Linked DNA regions of Schizosaccharomyces pombe. The gene in region 1 interacts genetically with each later gene. Each region holds a gene or a part of one and is shown on either strand. Other genes may lie near its edges.

Evidence for each region.
Region 2: mutations in ngg1 (region 1) and ftp105 together harm fitness more than expected from each alone (negative genetic interaction), as found in Schizosaccharomyces pombe (2 studies listed by BioGRID).
Region 3: mutations in ngg1 (region 1) and res2 impair growth when combined (synthetic growth defect), as found in Schizosaccharomyces pombe (2 studies listed by BioGRID, with this or other methods).
Region 4: mutations in ngg1 (region 1) and tea2 together harm fitness more than expected from each alone (negative genetic interaction), as found in Schizosaccharomyces pombe (2 studies listed by BioGRID).

Annotation. Positions count from the first base shown.
Region 1 is NC_003423.3:1,586,072-1,590,426, forward strand, and holds ngg1 (SAGA complex subunit Ngg1/Ada3), read right to left. Parts: upstream 2,328-4,355; 5' UTR 2,272-2,327; coding exon 616-2,271; 3' UTR 521-615; downstream 1-520. Other genes in the region: transcription factor TFIIA complex large subunit Toa1, read left to right, coding at 1-346; upstream binding transcription factor, RNA polymerase I specific, Hmo1, read left to right, coding at 3,288-3,317, 3,510-4,355. UniProt on the Schizosaccharomyces pombe protein: Component of the transcription coactivator SAGA complex. SAGA acts as a general cofactor required for essentially all RNA polymerase II transcription. At the promoters, SAGA is required for transcription pre-initiation complex (PIC) recruitment.
Region 2 is NC_003424.3:1,784,516-1,790,907, reverse strand, and holds ftp105 (Ubp5 interacting protein Ftp10), read right to left. Parts: upstream 4,539-6,392; 5' UTR 4,471-4,538; coding exon 4,451-4,470; exon of another isoform or gene 4,409-4,450; coding exon 4,366-4,408; exon of another isoform or gene 4,304-4,365; coding exon 4,271-4,303; exon of another isoform or gene 4,203-4,270; coding exon 3,556-4,202; intron 3,458-3,555; coding exon 3,250-3,457; intron 3,194-3,249; coding exon 2,816-3,193; intron 2,717-2,815; coding exon 2,462-2,716; exon of another isoform or gene 2,410-2,461; coding exon 1,216-2,409; 3' UTR 553-1,215; downstream 1-552. Other genes in the region: protein saf5, read right to left, coding at 1-283; gus1 (glutamate-tRNA ligase), read left to right, coding at 5,823-6,392. UniProt on the Schizosaccharomyces pombe protein: Required for the localization of ubp5 to the Golgi apparatus. Involved in detoxification of cadmium ion.
Region 3 is NC_003424.3:684,951-689,731, reverse strand, and holds res2 (MBF transcription factor complex subunit Res2), read right to left. Parts: upstream 3,198-4,781; 5' UTR 3,140-3,197; coding exon 2,908-3,139; exon of another isoform or gene 2,744-2,907; coding exon 1,002-2,743; 3' UTR 553-1,001; downstream 1-552. Other genes in the region: ATP-dependent RNA helicase Rok1, read right to left, coding at 1-249; glutamate-cysteine ligase Gcs1, read right to left, coding at 3,462-4,781.
Region 4 is NC_003423.3:3,891,075-3,895,766, reverse strand, and holds tea2 (kinesin family plus-end directed microtubule motor Tea2), read right to left. Parts: upstream 2,711-4,692; 5' UTR 2,567-2,710; coding exon 680-2,566; 3' UTR 511-679; downstream 1-510. Other genes in the region: trs8501 (TRAPP complex subunit Trs85), read right to left, coding at 1-357; Pet117 cytochrome c oxidase assemby protein, read right to left, coding at 3,193-3,363, 3,417-3,512; uba1 (ubiquitin-activating enzyme E1), read right to left, coding at 3,867-4,692. UniProt on the Schizosaccharomyces pombe protein: Promotes microtubule growth, possibly through interactions with the microtubule end, and is important for establishing and maintaining polarized growth along the long axis of the cell.

The DNA.
Region 1 (4,355 bases):
ATTTGCTATTGCACAGAAAGCTGATGCTGAAATTTATGAAGTTTTGAAAAAGAATCGCATTTTGCAAATTGACGGCACTATAGAAGATAACGAAGATGAAAAAAAGCCACCTGTTGATACGCCTTCTGACGAAGCAATTAACTCAGATTTAGACGATCCTGATTCAGATGAGGCTCCCGAAACTGAAGAAGGTTCTGATATTGGACAGGCTATCGTTCTTTGTCTTTATGACAAAGTGAACCACCACAAAAATAAATGGAAATGTGTGTTCAGAGATGGCGTAGTTGGCGTTAATGGAAAAGATTACTTATTTTTCAAGGCGAATGGTGAGTTTGAATGGATTTAAAATTTTACTTTAGGTGTTTTGCTTCAAAAAGTGATGGACGTATTTTATCTATCAATCATTCTTCTTTTTGGCCTTTTTGTTTTCTTCATGAATCATGTTTATAAGTGCATTTAAGTAATCTTCCTATCATATTTTAGTGAGCACATCAATCTATTCTACGGTTAAAAGTATTATTATTATTTCATGCAAATTTTATTCACTAAAGCAAGCAATTAAATTAGATCACAATGATAGAATTACAGTATATACACTTTCAAATTTTAAACGCTTCATACAGATGTACTGTAATTAGATGTAGTGTGGTCCGATAAATCATTAAAAATAGAAGTTGGCGAACCAAGGTGTTGCGTAAGCTTATCCTGAAATAAAGGTTGAAGCTTTTCTAACCACATTGAGCGCTTGTCCATCAATGATTTGATGACAGGAAAAGAGCCGCTCGTAGCTGAAGAGCCAATTTTATCAGTAACAATACGTTTCTTTTTAACCTTCAAACTTCTGTTACGTTTGACATACGCTTGTTCGATTTGTTTATCTAGATCATCCATCACATTTTGGAATTCTTGAAATGCCATTTCCTCAGGAAGCATCTGTAACAGCGCATTCCTCATTTTTTCGTTTTCATCAGAAACTACCTTCAAACGAGCATTCAAACTCCTTAAGGTAGCTGAAATTTCATCATCCTGTCGCTTTGACCAATCTACATCGCCATCATAAAGTATACCTAGTTGTTTTAGGGTGTAACGAAGGCGGTCCTCACAAATTGAAAGACTCGACTCTTGTATATCCGGTTGTTCTGTATATTCATTATTTCCTGACTCGATTCCATCAATGCTTGTACCAATTTTGCTTTTCTCGGATCCAGAATCGGTTTCCGCAAATTCGCCAACAGCAATAGAAGGTTTTTGCTCCTCATCATTCTGCGTGTAGCAAGGAATTAATGAAGCCATTAGTCGTTCAGTGAGTGGACCACACCTAACTTCCTCAGAGACGGTATCTGCCTCATTAAAAGCTTCAAGGGATCCTTGAGCAGAGGTTTGCAGGTTTTGGTAAATTGAGTTAGCACACAGGTTGGTCATTTCATCTTCCGGAGTTAAATCGTAATAGCGTTCCCCCAAAGGAGGAATATTATAGGAAGACGAAACGTCAAATCCTTTTTTTAAAAAAGCAATATCATCATCATTGAAAGCACGAAAATATGGGTCAAGTGACGAATAAAAGGTTGATATTGAAATCTGGTTATTTGGCTTGTTGTGAGAAAAATCATCAGTCGCCGGAGTTCCTGCCACCAACGATCGTACATCACTGGTTGGAAAGGAATCTACACATAAAAGCTTCTTTTTTTGTTCATAAGAGAAGGAATCGTCAACAATGAAAGATAGTAATGAACCGGTTAGAAGATCGTTTGCGTTTTTATATACCAACCCAGTTGTCTGTTCATCTTTACCCTTAACCGGTAAATCTAATTCATTCTCAATTGTTTCCACATTTTCGGGACTGATTTCTTCATTATGGGCCTCTGAAACTTTGGGCTTCTTGGAAACTTTTTCTAGCATAGACTCTTGTGGACTTTCGGAAAGAGAACGCTTTTGCTTTATTTCTTGTTCAACGTTGTCTTCTTTAAATTCTTCTACTTTTTCTTCCACTTTATTAACCGACGATTCGTCTTTTGAGGTTTCTATTTCAGAATCGACATGAGACTCTAACTCTTCTTTGCGCTGGCGAAAATATTCTACACAAGACGGTTCACACTCAATCATTTTTTGCAGCTCAAACAGAAGCCGCCATAATGTCGACACAGACGGTACAACACCAGGAGTTGACGTTTCACTCAGACGGGAAAAGGTCTCGTATTGATTTTCAATTTTAAAACATTGAGGAATCACCGCGGGTTTCGAATCAGCTTCATTTTGTTGTTCGGAGGACATCCCAAAAAAATTTAAATCGTGAACAATACAACATTTACATATGTCTCTCTCCCCCGAAAAAATTCATTACTGAGGTGGTGATTTTTTATACCGGATTTCGATGATGGCGTACTTTTAGCGAAGTCTAGTATACCACTTGTTACATTGTTATAACGGTGCTCAGAAATATTAATCAAGAACAGCGTTGAATTGCTACGAATATGATATCTCAAACCAAATTAAACAGCAATATATTTTATTCATAGTGAATCCATCGCAAAAGCAATATGCTTTGCGAAGTATTTTGAACACTATAAGTGATCTTTGGTTTGTTTAAAATTAAATTTATCTTAAATTTAATAGTTTCTAAACCAATTGGTCTAGCGCAAGAACTAGATAAACAGAGTTGCAGCTTCACAAGATATCATGAAATAGATCTACGAGTCAATGGAATAGGATTTGTTTATACTTAATTAAGAGGTAAATATTTACAAGAAAATGTTTTATCATTTTTTTTTTTTAAATTTTGGATGTTTTTATTGCTATTCTTTCCATTTATGGGACATTATTTGACTGTAAGTCTCAGCAAATTTAGTGGATTGAGATTAGAAAAAGAAAAAAAAAAAAAAAAAAAAAAAAAATTTTTCTCGGTTGTAGATTTTCTCATATTTTCCTATTATATATTTAATTTACTACAATTGTCTTTTGTAATTTTCATTATATCACTCAACAGAATCACATGAAGAAATATCTCACTGAACCATCGTAATTTCAACAATAACAATTGTCACATATATTAAATAACTATAAACTGTAATAATAATAAAATGTGAAGAAAGCTCAACCGAACTGGTGGGTTTAACTGAAGCAATTTCATCTGCTTCGCATTTCCAGCATTAACCAACCACCCACCGTCATAACCGCTAAGATTTAAATTCCCGCCATCACCCCGGTAGGTCAGCCACCATTTCCTGTATTTGCCATCGTATTGAAGCTTTAGTTGTATTAGAAACTTTGAATATTTTTTAAGTAGTACGATGGCTCAAAACTCAACCCAACTGGAAAAGGTATGTGATATTTTAAAGAGTTTTGGTGTTTTGAACCAACATAATGTTTTATGATTCAAAAAATTGATTTAAATCAAGTATTTACTAAAAATAATCTTTTTTAATTGGTTGAAAAGTTTGATGATTAAATGCAAAATTTTCTTTAGTTATCCGCTTGGTTTTTGGTTTTTATCTAACAAATTGCCGTCTTAGATTTCTGGTTCTTTCACAAGGTTGGCGGAAGCTTTTCAGTTAGCTTTAACCGCATGCCGTGAGATCGAAGAATCACTTCCTTCGATATTAGGAGAGAAGTCCGAGGTTTCGAAACCTTTTAAGCCAGCCGTCACTGATCCATCAAATGCGAAGAAAGAGATTAATATGGCAATTGAGTCTCCTTCTAAAAAAGCAACTTCACCTAAGAAAGCTACTCCTGCAGCAGTAGCTCCTGTTGAGGCAACCTCCGCAGTCGATACGTCGGAAGCTGTAGCCTCCATGACCCCAAACAAGCGCAAGGCTAGGGATCCTGCACAACCAAAGCGCCCTCCATCAGCCTATAATCTCTTTCAGAAGAACCAACGATCGGAAATCAAGGAGTCTTTGGGCGAGAAGAGTAACGATGTTAAAGAGGTGAATAAAGCGATGCATGAAAAGTGGGGCTCGCTATCTGAAGATGATCGGAAAACTTACGAAGAAGAAGCTTCTAAACTTCGAGAAGCCTACGAAGAAGAAATGGCTGCTTATAATGCTTCTAAAGAAAATGCGTCAGTTGCTGATAGTCGAGTTACGGCTGAGGAAACTTCTACTAAACCTTCAGAAGACTTATCCTCTCCCACTAAAAAAGATTTGATAGACTTTTCAGAAACCAGACCATTGGCTCAAGCTTCTAGAGCCACTCCTGACATTAAAGAACAGCATGCTAAGAAACCGAAGCGAAAGCACACCCGTTCAACAGTACCTACAAGCAATGTTGAACCAGTTTCTCAACCTCAACCCTCTCCTGACAAAATCGTTTCTAGCCCCAATCCGCCATCAGCGAAAAGGGAAAAAAAGAAACGTCGC
Region 2 (6,392 bases), on another chromosome or scaffold:
CATATACATATGGCTTATCCTTGCTTTGTTTCGCATGAAGAGTAATGGTTTCATATGGAATTTTCCAGCCAGAATTCTGTTCTTCATCAAAAAGGATAAAGCTCTGTGAAGTTACTAATAAAGTTATCAATTTGCCCAAAGGAAAACTTTCCTCATCACTTCTAATTTTATAGGGGACTGTTTTTTCTTCAAAATAAACGATTTCTTGATTTGGCAACAACTTTTCACCATTTTCAACTTTGCGAATTAGGTCCTTTGGAAGTGAGTCAATTTTGGTAATCATAATTACTTCTTGCTTCCAATAGGTATTTAAGCATAAAAATTATTAAAAAACAGTAATAAGGCCACCTCTACCTGATAATTTATTGAAAGAAAAGGTTTACTGTGCGTTGTATTCTTTTGAAGTACTCAAATACAATATCTTCGCATATTAAGCATTTCGCAAAATCGAAAATATATTTCTACTCTTAACCACACGAATTTTTTATAAATTGAACCATTATGCCAAACAGGATATCGATTTTACTCAAATACTTTTGATATGCAATTTTCGTAAATGACAAGCTAGTTATTCATTGCAATTACAAAACAAACTCATGAATATAAATAGTTTTGTGGAAAAAATAAAGGAAAGGTCTAAGGTCTTTATGAAGTAATCCTCGTTACCCAAAAAATTGGGACTCAAAACTTTTGAAATTGGATTTTTTATTTTATATAGTAAACAGATTTATAAGTGTAGCGAAATAAAGCTAAGAATTTTTTAGCAACCAATTCATTGCTATATAAGGTTATACATTGATTTGGATACATGTAATGAATTAGCATCAGTGGATCGTTTCTCTCATAAAGGTGGGTCTTTCTAAAGTATACGAGATTGACTTTCAAACACCAACTTTCCAAATCAAACTTCGAAAGACTTTTTTAAAGCTAGTGACAAGGTTGGAGCAGAAGATTCTCCAAGCCAGTTTTTAGTTAATTAATAGAATGAAAACAAATCGAAAAGTTCAAAAATCAAAATTAGCAAGGCAAGATTCTGGTCATCAGTATATAATTAAATGATGGCAGTATGTGGATGCAAATCCTCCAAGATAATTTTTTAGTGAACAATTTAATCAATAAATTTTCAAAGTAAGATACCATAACATGCATGCAGGGTTTTCTTCAAATATTTTTTAGGACAAAAGTATACTTTAATTTACGCATTGAATTTAAGAATCACTTGTTGCGTAAACTGGAATCGTGGTTGACACTACTTGGCAGCTGTAAATACAGCAAATCGAGTTTGTCAAGTATAGATTTTGTGGCATTCTCCATTGAGTTAGAACTGTTTTCAGGAGATGCAACTTTCATGATATTTCCATGTTGTTTGTACACTTTAGAGGTTGTAAATAAAGAGGGAGTAGCCATTAAACCTTTTTCATCAAATGACAAAGTATAAAGCCAAACAAGACTTTGAAACCAATTATTCATAGGGACACTCCAAATAAAGTAGCGAAAATTGGGAACTCGAGGATGTACATCATTTAGCACAGAGTTAGCTAATAGTTTAACAGCTTCGTCAGTAGTTGATAATTCTTCATTCATTTTCTTGTATACAGGTAGAGAAAACTGAGATATAATGGCTAGAATAGAATCCAATTCAAGTCTTGAATGCCAAGAATTAAACCACGAGTTGGAAGGTGCAAACAAATTTGAGTCAATTTCTAAATCTTTTCCAAACGGATTGGATGCACATTTTTTAATAAGTTCTGAACTAGAAACATTTTCCGGTATTTTCCCACGCAACTTTCTAGACAGAACCAATGGAGAATCTGAGAATACATCTTGAAGGACTGTCGGGACAGAAATCGAAACATTTCTACTCGAAATATGTGATAAGCCACCGCGTGAACTACTGCTACTAAAAGGGGAGGAAAATTTATCTAATTCATCGAAAGGTGAATCATCTTCAACGGTAGCAACTTTTTTAAAGTCAGTATTTTGGAGTGGTGTTCCATCTAAGGAGGTGTTATCGGATGATTTAGATTCAAAATCACTACTTCCTTCCGAATTGAGGGCCACTAAAGGCTGTGATTTAGTCTGAGCAACGGCAGGAAGTTTCATAGAATTAAGATTCAAAAAAACTTGCTGGAGGCGAATAATAGAATAACTGAGATTAGGGTTTTGAGAAAACTTGTTTTCAACTATACTAGAAATAGCCTGTAACAGGTATTCAAGAAGCAGATGATTGCGCGGATTACGAAAAAGAAACCGAGGAGATGAAAGAGATGAACAGAGTTGCATTAATTTGGCACACGTAACGAAACTTAGGTTTTCAACAAATGGTGCAATATTGCATATGGTCAACAATATAACAGGAGATAAACTGCTAAACGGAGATCTCTTCACTGCTGAAATATGAAAGCTAGACTGGAAGGCGTAAGTAATAAAATTAAAATAAACAATTAATCGTGAATCTTACGATAATCAAAAACTCTGCATAAGACATTGGTGGGACTGAGAACCCAAGGGAAGACATCAATGATTGTGCATTCATACAGTTTCTATTTAGTTTTTCACAAAGAACCTTCTCGCATGATAAATAATGAACGATAAAAAGGCAAATGCGAACAAGGCCGGAATGTTCATTGTCTTCACGATATCTAAGTGCATAAAACTGAATAGAAGTTAAAAACTCCGTAGCATAAGGAGAAGTGATCAAAAATGCTCGGAAACGCTGTTTTAAATTAGTTAGCAAATATAATGAACGCGTAACAACATAAATTAAACAACTGTACAAATAATGTAATATATATAAAAGGACCGTTGAACATACTTTATTATATAAAATTGCTTGCCAAAGAAACAAAATAATTTCCGGAAACGCGATATTAGGCTTTTGTACAATTGAAATATAGGCAGAGATAGCGGAAACTGGTGCATTCAATAGCCGATATAGTTCGTTAACTAAAAATTCATAATCAGCTTGTAATTGAAGTCGAGAAAAATATAATCTATACTGATTTTCGATAGCAGCGCCAGGAGAAAGATTGAGTCTCTGTCTGAAGTATTCGACTGTTGTTTCATGAGGGGTGTGATCTAAAAAAAGCAAAAGGATTTGAGAAGTAAGTTTTGAGAGTGCAATGCTAGAATCATTATAAGGTACTAGAGTTGAATACGAAGCCTTCCAGCTATCAGGTCTAAGTCGCAAAGTCTAAAAACTAAGTTAGTTGTACAACAAAAAAAGGTAAATTTTAAGCCAAAACTTACAGTATTTATAAGGGAATAAAGAAAAACTAGTATAAGCTGCTTATTTGCTACACAGGTCAAATAAGTAAGGGTGTGAGAAGCTACTTCAGAAGATCGATACAGCCTTTTAGAAATCAATACTAACAGCAAACGAAGAACCTCAATGCGATTAAACGCAAGTTCCTTTGTGGTTTTCTCTTGGGTTTCTGTTGTACCAATTCCATTTTCCCTGCAAAAGTGATTAGTTAACACATTGCATTTAACCAAATATAAAAAAGCAAACGAAAAACAAAAAAAAAATATATATATATATACATATATACTTACCATATAATGTATGCATATTGCTCAGGACTTGAAAGAGGAAGCGTAAAGCCTCTGCAAAAAAGCAAACGAAAGACGGTGTCCAGCAATTCCTCCATTAAAGTTTTTTCATGAGTAAAAGTTTCTTCAATAGAGCCAATTTCTTTGATTGTGCTAGAACCACCTACTGATACGTCAGCGGCAGAGACGTCTGAAGAAGCATCAAGGGAGATGGAAGAAGCAGGAAAGGTGCTCACAGGAGATAATGGGACTGAAGGAGACTTCTGCGAGAATTCGTTCTTTTGGGAGATGGAATTTTCAAAATCTAGATCGTCTTGAAAATTACTAAGGTCTAATTCGGAATTTTCCTTTGGTAAATTTCTCTTCTTTCTAAGGCTCCACCAAAACTTTTGATGCCATTCTTCTAAATCGAGTTTCTCATTCAAAAAAGGAATGATTCTAGTAAGTAGGCGAATGCAGTTTAACGCTTCACTCGCTGGTGCCGTTTCAGGATTTGGAAACTTTTTGTCATTTTTCAACGCAAACAAACGAGATGTCAATACAAGCAGCAATTTTTCAAGGTTTACAAAGGCATGATCCCTCATCTCACGAATGAGACCTGGGGGAAAAAAATCGTAAACTTCTGGACAACTTTCAGGTACACTCCAAAGCTAATAAACATAAAAACGAATACATTAGTAAAAGCGTCTTACACAAGTTAATAAAAAAAATTTCATACAGAAACCCAAACTTCATCATCCAACGGTATATCCTACTAGAATTAGCTTGCAATGTTCTCTTAGCGTATCATCCACCCATAAACACAAACCGTACCGGTTGAGAAGCTAATCTTGCAATTCCTCGCTGAAATGCCAATCTAAACAGTTAGCTCATACGAAAATTTCGCAATGTTACTTACTTTGACTCTTGGCCTCCCATATTCTCTAATTAGATGCGAAAACCGTAAAGTGCTCTTGACAAACGCTGCAGCTTCATCGATAATCGTTAGGTACTAGTAGACCCGTCCATGTGTATACTTTATTCGCGCGCTAAGTTTCCAAAAGATGCATTATTTCATATTGCGAAATTTTATTATTGCTCGAGTTAATTTGTTAGCTCTACCGTACATTTAATGATCGTTAGCATTACGACGAATTTTCACATTTACAGTCAATGCACTATGACTCACTATTTGGTAAACACTTTTTAGCAAACTGCAATTTGTTAGGAGGCAGGGTAAGGAAAACAATTGATTACCATCACGAAATGAGAATTAAGGAAGAAATACAGCTTGTCAAAGAGACTTCAGCTACCTGCTGAACTGCATTTAAATGTTTGTGAGTTTTTGGTTTCTACTCGTTATCTCATAATTACCGTGCCATCAGATAAACCTCAAAGGTTTCTCAGTTATAAAAAAAACAAGGAAACTGTATAGCTGTAAACAATTCATCTACTGTATAACTCACGCGGCAAAACCACATGAGACATCTGTCGAAGCAAACAATGATATATTTACATGTTCAGTAGATGAATCGCTAGACTATGCCGTGATATGTTAGAGTTCCTTATATTATATACAATGAAGTACATTATAAATGGCTGTATTCAAATTTTAGCTATTTCTGTAAAATAAACAAAGCAGCTATCTATTTTGAAGTGAGATTTTTTTCCAATTTATAATAATTTCAATTATAAAAGGTGCTCTTTTTCTACTCTCAATGTACTTGAAATGTCATATATGTATTTGATATCGTCAAAATTGTCAATAGCAAGATAACTAAATAAATGAGATGATAAAGATCTTATTAATTAACTTGGTAGATGATTTTTCCTACTTTTTCCTTTAATCCTATAGCTGATTAACAGGTAATTATTAACAAAAAAATGACTTTTCTTCCATTCTTCTGATTGTTTCAACTCCACTCTGTTATTATGTATCTATTCTCTTTTCTTATCGGTATACCGATTTACGTTAGAAAATGGTAAACAGTATAACGAGAAACCCTCGGTTTCGGTTCATATCTGTATAAAATTAGCAGATTAGCGAAAAATGCTGGAAAGAAAATTAATCAAGGTCAGACATGAACTTGAATTCCTTATCTATAATCTAATTTGTACTTAAATAGAATCCTTTTTTTTCGGTCAACTTCGTACTGCGTTCGAATTTTTCTGGTTTGGATTTTTAGTGTTTTGCAAACATACCTTTACCATACACTAATACCCTAAAAATCACTTCGACACCAACTTACCACGAACCAAGTTCGACAATTTTCACCACCGGTTTTGGGAAAATGTCAGTTAGTGTTGCATTAAAAGCAAAGCCCATTGCTTATGGTGCAGTTGCATGTGCAAATTATGTGAATCTGTCTGGTGCAGGAAGCATTTCCGTCAAGTATGAGGACGTTGCTTTATTAGACAAACAAAACAAGGAATCGAACGTCTCCATTCAGCTTAACGGCTCTGATTCTCCTGTATTCGGTTCCAAGTTGGCTTTACAGACTTTCTCTCAAGTCTATCCTAAACTTTTCATTGGCGAAAACGATCGTTCTTTGGTTGAGAGTTGGGTGGAAACTGCCTCTGCCTTAGCTGGTAACCACAACTTTCTTGAGCTTTCTTCACTTCTTGCTCAGTTAGACGACCATTTAATTATGCGCTCTCTTTTTGTGGGTTATTCCCTCACCTCTGCTGATTTTTCTATTTGGGGTGCCTTAAAATCAAACAACATGGCAGCTGGTGCCGTACGCACTGGCCAGTATTTCAACCTTGCTCGTTGGTACAAGTTTATGGATTCTCAAAATGCCGTGAGTGTCACCATGGAAGAATTCACCAAGGCAGTTAATATTAGCAAAAAACAAAAATCT
Region 3 (4,781 bases), on another chromosome or scaffold:
TTTAGAACCTATCGTTGGAATGGCATATCTTTGAATTGTGGTACATTCTGTTATGTTTTGTTTTTTTAAGTTTTCACAAAGTATTCCTTCCGGAAACTCTTCAATTGGATCAACAGGATTATTACCAGTAACTTTAGCTTTTCCCTTAGTAATACCTTGTAATTTTTTTGCTTCTTTTTCTTTTATAGAAGGTTGAGGTACTTTATTCTTAAATTTGACATTAGTTGTCAAAAGTTTCAACGCATCCATTTCCTTATGCAATACTTAATTATCAAAGTTAAAATATTTTAGTAGATATTTCAACGAAGGAACAAAAATAAAAGATTGTTGAAATTTTCAATTATACATATACACGACTAAAGTAAGTATGGTAGCTGCTGGGGAAAGGCTGCACTAACGTCCTCTAGTTAAACCAGTACGTTAATTCAAATTGTGTATTCCAACAGCGTTATTAAATTTATGTATGCTAAGTAAACATAATAAATGTATTCAAAAAAACGCGATTTCTGCGTTTATAGGTTACATATTTTTATATCGTATTTACGAGAAATACTGCTATAGATTTTCTTTCAATTAAATAATTGATTATTTGTATTAATCACTCTTTTACCTATTTGAACAGGACCCTCAAATTAAAGTGAAGCTCAGTAACTTGGTATCCTTTAGATGATCATTAACGTGCGAATGCAAAAAGGATGAATCATGAATGGAAGCACGCGCTGTAAATGAGATAAATCATTTTACAATAGTAGATTGTTTTAGCTGCGCATAAATAAGTAACATAATAGTTTTGTTAGGAAGGAGCAATATATGTTTTTTCCACTTGATTCCATTCGAAAATAATATATAAAATAACTCGTGTTTTTCTATCAAAGTATGATAACGTTGATAAATGCAGTTTGACAGTGAGTGTCATGGATAAAATCATTAACTATCATAACTCGTATCATTAAATAAAGAACGTAACATTAAGACAAGATGTAAATGAAAGTTTCCAAGATTCATTTTTCTCGGGTTAATGCTTCTTCCACAGCATCGAGTATTTCCAAACTCAAATCTTCAGGGTTGATGCCACAACTCATTGCAATAAGACGACGGTAACTATTAACTGTATCATCAATTCCTAGTTCTTCATACAATTTTCTAATATACAAAGTATCTTTTTTGCGGGAAGCTTGGAGAGAAGTTAACTTATTAATTAATTGCTCATATTCATCAGAATTGGTCACGTTGTTGCAAGCCGGCTTTTTAAAATCGTTATTTAACGAAAGTCCGTCTTCCTTTTTTAAAAAGTCGGAAGGAAAACTAATAGATAATGAAGTATGTGGCTTGAGGCTTCTCTCTAAATCAAAGATTTGTCGTGCTTCCAACCATATTAGTAACCTCTTCGAAAGCTGCTGGTAAGTTTCTTGGGCCTCTCGAATCAAGTTTTCCATAGATTGACTATAAGTGGGGTTATTTTTCTGCAGAAAGGTCAATTCCTGATAAGTTCTGGAAATTTCATTAAGCGTGTCTTGCTTGAGACGATTCGCTCTAATCAAATCTTCTTCTTTTTCTCGAAGCTGAGATTCATACTCCTCTGCTAATTGAGAAAATTTCGAAGATATTGAAGGAATTGCCTTAACAAAAGCATGCGATGAGCATGATGGCGAGATAATAGCAGGGCTTATTCCGGAAAATGAAAAAGCACTATGCGAAGCATTTGAGTTTGACTGTAACAATGAATGTGGCTTTTTGTCAGCTTCCAAAAGATACTCGGAAGCTGTACGTCTTTGTCGGTTAGGAATAGAAGGATTGGCGTTATAACTTAATAAAGAGTTTACACAATCCATGGCTCCATTTCGAGCAGCAATTAATAGAGAGGTATCTCCATTTGAATCTTGTAGATTTACCAATCTCACAACATTTTCAAATGGTTGAATCGATATTAGTTTCTCTAATATGCAATCCAAATAGTATTTGGCCGCTGCAACTTTTGAAGGAGTTGAGGTTGATTGCACAATATGATGAAAAATTGACTGACCATTGGTGTCAACAGCATAAATAGTAGACTGGAGAAGCTCAAGCACTTGTCCAAAAGTTTGGCAGTCATAATTATTGGTAAAGATAACACTCCTCATCAATGGTGTTTGACTCAGTCTGTTACACACGCCAATGTCAGCATTGGCTCTCAGTAATAACTTAATCATCTCTATATGTCCCATTGAGCATGCCCAATGAAGAGAAGTGTGGCCATCATCATCAATAACACTGTTAACTTGAAAATCCGGGGGCGGCGAATACAGGAAGGAAGGAATGCGTCCCTCTTCTGGGTGAAGAAAGAAGTCAAGTAGTGACTCTTCATATTTGTCAAGCGGTGCCTCCAACATGCCTAACTCTTCAACAGGTTTTATAGTGTTATCATTTGGTGATAGCAGTGCATTAGGAGACGCTGGCAGAGGTGTTGCAGAAACTTGCTCCTCTGCACCAGGCAAATTCACTTTATTCATAGATGACTCAATTGTTGGTGATATAGAAGAATTCGGTTGTTTTTCATTGACGGAATGCAAAGTGCTACTAGAAAGTGACGACGGTTTACGGCCTCTACGGCCACGTACAGAAGGCTTTTTCTGCTTGGTCTGCTTCTTCTTTGGAGCAATTGCTTTTCCCTCATCAATGTCAAGACTCAATATTGGGCTCATTATTCCGTCAACCTTATACTTTGTGGCCAGGTCGACCCCACGCTGAAATGGAACCCAAGTTCCTATAGTTTGGTTAATACCGTCAATCATTTAGAGGACGCGTCCATAGAGATATTTAATACAAAAAGGTATTAAAATACCTCGATTTGGCTTAGTAAACACTCAATTGTTCGCGTTGTTCAAAGATAGCAAATCATGTCACAACGCGTAACAGTAGACAACTTACCCTGATATTTTCCATATCCACCTTGTACTTTTTCATGCGCACCAATCTGTACTTGTCTTTCTAAAACCCTTGTCCTTTGTGGTTTGTCAAAGTCAGCCACTTTCAAGATTTGTGTAGCATTCAACCAGGAATCGCGGCGTCTGCGCATCACAGAGACACCTTTAATAAAGCATTCATAGACTTCAACCCCAGAATAAACGGCAACATGTACTGCGGAAGAACGTGGAGCCATTACAGCAAAAGGCAGTTAAAATGCGTAGCGCGGACTCTTAAAAGGGTGCATGCATTGCGTTCGCTCACCCTACCTGCGTATACACATAACAATAGGGAAGGGTGGGGCAATACAGAAAATCAACTATGTAGTTACTGAATATATATTAGCACTAATTAAATAATGAGTATTCACTTAATGAAAGGAATCAATGGGAAGTCTCAGTTGCCAAAGAACTACACTTGTAATACTGAATTGCAAAGGAATTTAAATTACCAAAATTTTAGATATGTTATTAAGTAGAAAAAAATCTTATATATATTCCACTCAGAATTCATCTGCATTATGAGCATTTTCCAAGTAACGTATCGTCGTAGTCGCCATCTACAATTTTTGCTATTCTTCTAATTAAATCATAATTAATTTCGTCGTTGACCACGCTGTCTTGCTTATAAGAAGGATGAGTTGTAATGAAATTGCGTATCCACGAAGCAGCAGTCAAGCATTGGCCATTTGCTCTTTGAGAAATTAGGCGAATATAACGTTCAATTAGGCAAATAGTTTTGGCATCAGGATTACAAGAGTATAAATAGCTTCGAACAATGGTAATTAAACCTGGGAATCCGTTTTCACGGTGCTCACCATTAAATAACTCGTCAATTGTAAGTTGACGGAACTGACCAGATTCATCATCAGTACTTGCGTCAGGAAATGGATTGCAACGGAACCAAAACTTTTTACGATGAATGGCATCACGAGCATGAGCAGCTTTCATGTTTTCATCCACTAGCGATATCGGCATGTACAGATTCAAATTGAAGGATAGAATTGCACGAGAAAGCATCACAACAAAAATTGAATATGCCGCATTTTCAAAATCAGTTATTTGAATTTCCATTGATCTAAATTCTACACGCCAACCAATATCACTACCTGGTGGAGGAGGTTTAAAGCGCATAGATTGCCAGTTAGTTGAGTTTAGGTTCTCAAAATGAGCATTGGATACACTGTTGTCTTGTAAAATGCTGTCACTGAAAATAACCAAAGGATCACGAGAGAATATGTGAGCCATGTGCTTAGCCAATCTTTCATCAATGCAATCTTTTATTAGCTTATCGTAGCAATCTTGATTTATAACGACCGGGACGTCATTATATTCCGGTAAATTGCGCTTGTCATTCGAGATATATAAGTCAACAGAATCATACCTTGATTTTGGCACAGTTTTCATTTCTTCCTCGGTTCGATCATCGACAGCACCAGCAATCACATTCCATCTACAATCTTGATCAGCCAAATAGCCTCGAAATGCTGGAGTTCCGGCAGATAATGCCAGCATCAAGGGGGTAATAGGAGTCAACTGATCGTATAAAAGTCTAGCTTCATCACAACTTTTAGCTTGGAATGTAATTTGTAGACAACAGCATCCCATACCGAAACCCATACTGTCCATGTAAATATGATTGTCTAACGCTGCACCATCTCGTGCATTTGCATCTTCAGGAAACAAATTTCTATCCCAAGGAACGGTAGGATCGTGAAATGGTTTAATTGTATTTTTATCGAAGAAAATCGGAACATTCATGGCCACTTTTCTCCCGCGCCTTTGACGAATATTAGCAGTCAAGGTCGGGAAACGAACATGTGTGTTGATAACATCGTC
Region 4 (4,692 bases), 2.3 Mb from region 1:
TTGTACTGCTTCCATAGGAACAAAGCGAATTGAGTCATGATCATTATCAAAAATCCTAGAATCCAAAGTTTCCTTTGAAATGGCAGAATTGTTTGTCGAGCTCTGAAAAATGCGATCTCCGAACGGTCGAATAAAAGATGCAAAATCGTCAAATCCTTTACGCTTCATGAAATTTTCTGTGTCATCAGATGCCATAATAAATATGTGCGGACAATATGTGTCACTGATCAGCTGTCGAAGCTTTAGCCCAAACGCATTGTTGCTCACCGATGACGGTGTTACATGAAGAGAACTTTGAGATGCATTAGGAGCAATTTCAGAAAGGCTCCTGGTTATAAAATTTGTTGCAATGTCCATAAGGATGTGTTAACGGTATAGAGGATAAAAATTCCAAACGTAGTATATGATTGTAGCAGGTCGTCGCAAATTTAATAAAATTTTGCATAGAGAAGCCAACCTATGCAAATTAAGGATTTATTACAATGTGTCATTACAAATTATTGGAAAAAATCCCCGAAAATTCCAAAATATTATGCAAAAGAAAGAGATGCAACTGCGAACCGGCCTGTTTAGTAAAGAAACATCGTATCGTTAAAGTAATTTAAGGAGACATACAGGTTGAATGGGTATAAAATTGTAAACAAGGTTGATGAGAAGACGCCTATAATTAAACAAGGTATCAAGAAAGAAGTTGCGTTTCCTGAGTCACAGAATCCTTTTTCGATTGCTGTTGATCGTCTGGCAAAATTTCAGTTTTAGTTTCATTACTGAACTGATCAGAGGAGCTTCTGCTTCCCCTAGTAACATTTTTCTTTAAGATTTTGTGAGGGAATTTAGCAAGCGATTGATTGAAATCGGCAATATCCCGTTGCTTCTGAGCATATCGAAGAGCATAAATAATTTGTTCTTTATCTTGTAATTCATCTCTTAGATCTGCAATTTCGAAATTATGGTCAGAAAGCAATTCCTCCATTCGTAAACGAGCTCTACTTATAGCAGTTCCTTGCGAACGCTCTGCCTCTAACATGGCAATGTATGTATCTCGTTCCTCTAAGTCCGAAGTCAATTGCTTCACCAAAGAAGCATAATATTCAACTTCTTGGGCATTCTTTTCAAGGGCAGAGTGTAAAGATGCTAATTCAGCTTGAACATTAGTCACAGCTTCCGCTTGGCGAATATCTTGAGGCAAATTTTGAGCTCTAGATGCAAATTTAAGCGTGTTAGTAGTCTCCATCGTATGGTTGGATTCTATGCTTATCGTTGCTAAAAGTGATATTTGTGATTGGCCGGATAAAGATTGCTGCAACAGACGAGTTAACTTAGACTCACGATACGGTATATGTCCTGAATTTGAGGTAAGTGAAGGATTTGCAGCTGCTGACAACCTAGAAATAACAGTTCCTAATGTTAAAAGAGATTTGTTGATAAATGCTCCTTCTTTGCGTCTTTCATGGTGAGCTGAAGCTCTTTCACTTCCAGCGAGATCCACCAAGCTGAGACTCGAAATTTGTGAAGTGTGAGCAGTAGGATTATTTCGAATAAGAAAAACCTGAAGAATTGCATGCGAACGAGAACTATACGTATTGAAATCGGTTGCTGCTGTTTTTCGGATTGCATTGCACTGTTCAATAACCTGACTAACCTCTTCGGGGCTAGTGACGAGAACTCGAGTTAATGGTGTAACATTGACTTCTCCAGATGCATTTTCGCGTATTCTTGGCTCTTCGTCCGAGTTTCCGATTAAGTCTCGTATTCTCTCATTATAAATTTCTAAATAGGATATACGGATTTGAAAGGTATCGTCATCAGAATTGTTTTCAACCATTTCAAATAAATCATTCATGGCAAGTGGAATAATACCAGGTTCGTTTTCCGTACCTTGCATAGAATATGTTTTTCCTGTGCCGGTCATTCCATAAGCAAACACTATTCCATTATATCCGGAAAAAACATTACGGACAACCGACTTAACAGAACGTTTGTATATATCGTAATTTTTAGATTCCATCCCAAAAACATTATTAAAAAGATATTCTTGCTGAATTGTGGACGAGCTTGTACTTGTTTGCTGGCGAATGTATTCACGACCATATGGGTCATTGCTTAACTTGCCATGTGACCATACACCTTGGTTTTTACCAATAGGTCGAATACGTATACTTGTGATAATTCCTGAACCAACAAAGTTGCTCTCTTTTAAACCTTTAGAATTGGTTTGTTGACTTGTTGTAGATTCATAATTAACATACTCATTTTTTAAATAATCCAAGTCCTTCGACGGATACAAGGCAGGACGCGTGTATCTATCTAAAGTTCCAGGAGACATCAATTTCTCTGTAACTCCCAAATCAAATGCTGTAGGCCCATTTACATTTGTTTGAGTGCTATTGCTTCGTAGCATAGGTATGGAATAGTTCGAAAAATTTCGGGACAATGGTGACGTTGGGGAATATGGAATACTCCCTGTTCCACTCTGAGATGGACCAGTCCGTATGCCAGTCATTGTAGAATAGCGGCGAGGTGTAACCAACCCAGTATTCACGGGTTTTGAGGAAGATGAACTCATTTCATGAAGTAGAAAAATAACAGGTTAGAAAATGAACGTGCTTATATAAAATAAAAAGAATAGAAAAATTTCCATTAAGTGGTGGTCAAATTTACTCAGTTTTGAAATCTTTCAACAAGCTAGTGAAATGTATTAGAATTTGTCAGACATAAACTACCTTCACCATTCACTTCATTCGCACATTAAGGAATCTCAAGACACTTCGGCATACTTACCTCGTTACGATGGTAGTAACCATTATAACGAATAACCAGTAAACTATGACAAGTTTATATTACTAATAACCGGATAAAGTAAATTTCATTAATATATAGCATAATGTAAATTGATTTATATTTCCTTTTTGAGTAATGTTAACAAAAAACTAGCTCTTTTGCCTATAACCCTCTAAGATTAACACACCCTGTTATGCCGTTTTCTAGATGTAGTTACTTCTTTTTTATTTAACCGAGCTGAATTTCTCAATATTAAATCCTTAAAATCTGGCAAAGATGAAAAAAATATTAATGTATAGTAAAGGTAAATAAGTTGCTCTGGATAAATTGGCTGAACACTGGAAGTCCGAGGCTATAGGTTTCAAGCTGTCTATAATTTCGATTCGTCCAATCTGTGTTAAAAACTTGGTTTTAGTCGTTCACTGTTGTTTGCGTTGTCTGTCGGAGACCCTTTTCGTCCTCTTCAACAGGTAGCTGGCTTTCGTAAAATTTTCGTAACTCTTGTTGTCGCTTTAGGTCTTCAAACCTTTCTTTTTTAATTCTTTTCCTTTCATCATCTTTTTGAACTCCCGCCGACATTTTCTATACTTACATTAGCTATGGTGCATATTTTCTTTAATATAAGTAAATATTACCTCTCGTTCAATAATCTGATTATTATGTACGAAATAAACCATGTAAACACTAAAGACACCGGCCCCGACGATACAAAGTTTTGAGGCAGTAGACATTGGCAATAATTCTAGTTAAATTTAATATAATGTATACGATAGACTTTTGTAGCCGAGTAAAGATATACTCTTAGGTAAATTAGGAGGTTAGCAGTCGAAACTTACGTAAATGCCAATCGCCGACGTTAAAAAAATTGCTCAAAAAAACAACAATTTTACTACATGTCAAAATACTTTTTAAAATATAACAGATCTTAGTTCATAAAAATTAGAAAGAGTATAGGAAAAATAATAAATTATTCATACATGCCTATTAATGTTTTTTAAAGACTGCTAATACTAATTTAGTAAATTTATTAGAGCCATTGGCATTAAATGTTGCAAATTCCAGGAATTAACCGGTTCTCAAAGGTATTACAACTTGATACAAATAAATGGAACTTCAACGTCTTCACCGTTGGCATCATCACAGCAAATTTCAAGCACCAAGTGTTTCCGGAAAGGTTCTAGTTTTTTCTTAGTAATTTGCTCAACCAATTCAGAAATTTTGAGAGGCAACCTTTCAGCAAGTTTCTTAGGTGGTTGGAAATTAGCATACAAAAGAGAAACTCCAGATGAAAGCATGGTCACTTCCAACCCCTCTTCTTTTTGGAAATAATCAATAAGCTCTTGAAGTGTGCAGTCCGGGAGATTGTAGCGATCCCAGATTTTGTCGATTTCTTTACCATTGACTTTCATTTTCGGAGAAGCAATAGGATCAGAAAATGTAAAGAGCCCTATAGCAAGGTTGAAAAATCCATTTTTATATTCCTCGATCTTCTTTTTGCCATCAACAAGTTTAACAAGCTCAAGACATACAAGTCCTGAAACGACAGCAGTTGATGTACACATGGCTGGTACAATTTTACCGGCAACAAACTTCGTCTTAAACCTATCCGCAGGTGTGATGTCGTAATTCATGGCACGCAAATTTGATGCAGCCGTTATAAAGTCAATGTGATGATTAGAGTCATCGTCCTTTTCAAATTCTGCCGGAGTTAGTCTAAAACCCACAAGAGAGGATGGAGGTGGTAGACTGTCAGCAATCGATTTCAGTTCTTGTTTATCTTTATTAGCAGCGGTTTCGGGAGCTTCTTCATTTTCATTGACTTGAATTTTAATACCAGACTTGGGAGCAAAGGGAGGAGGATTGTAGCCAGCAAGAACGCGTTCGTAAATAGCTGGGTCTGTCTCACTCTTA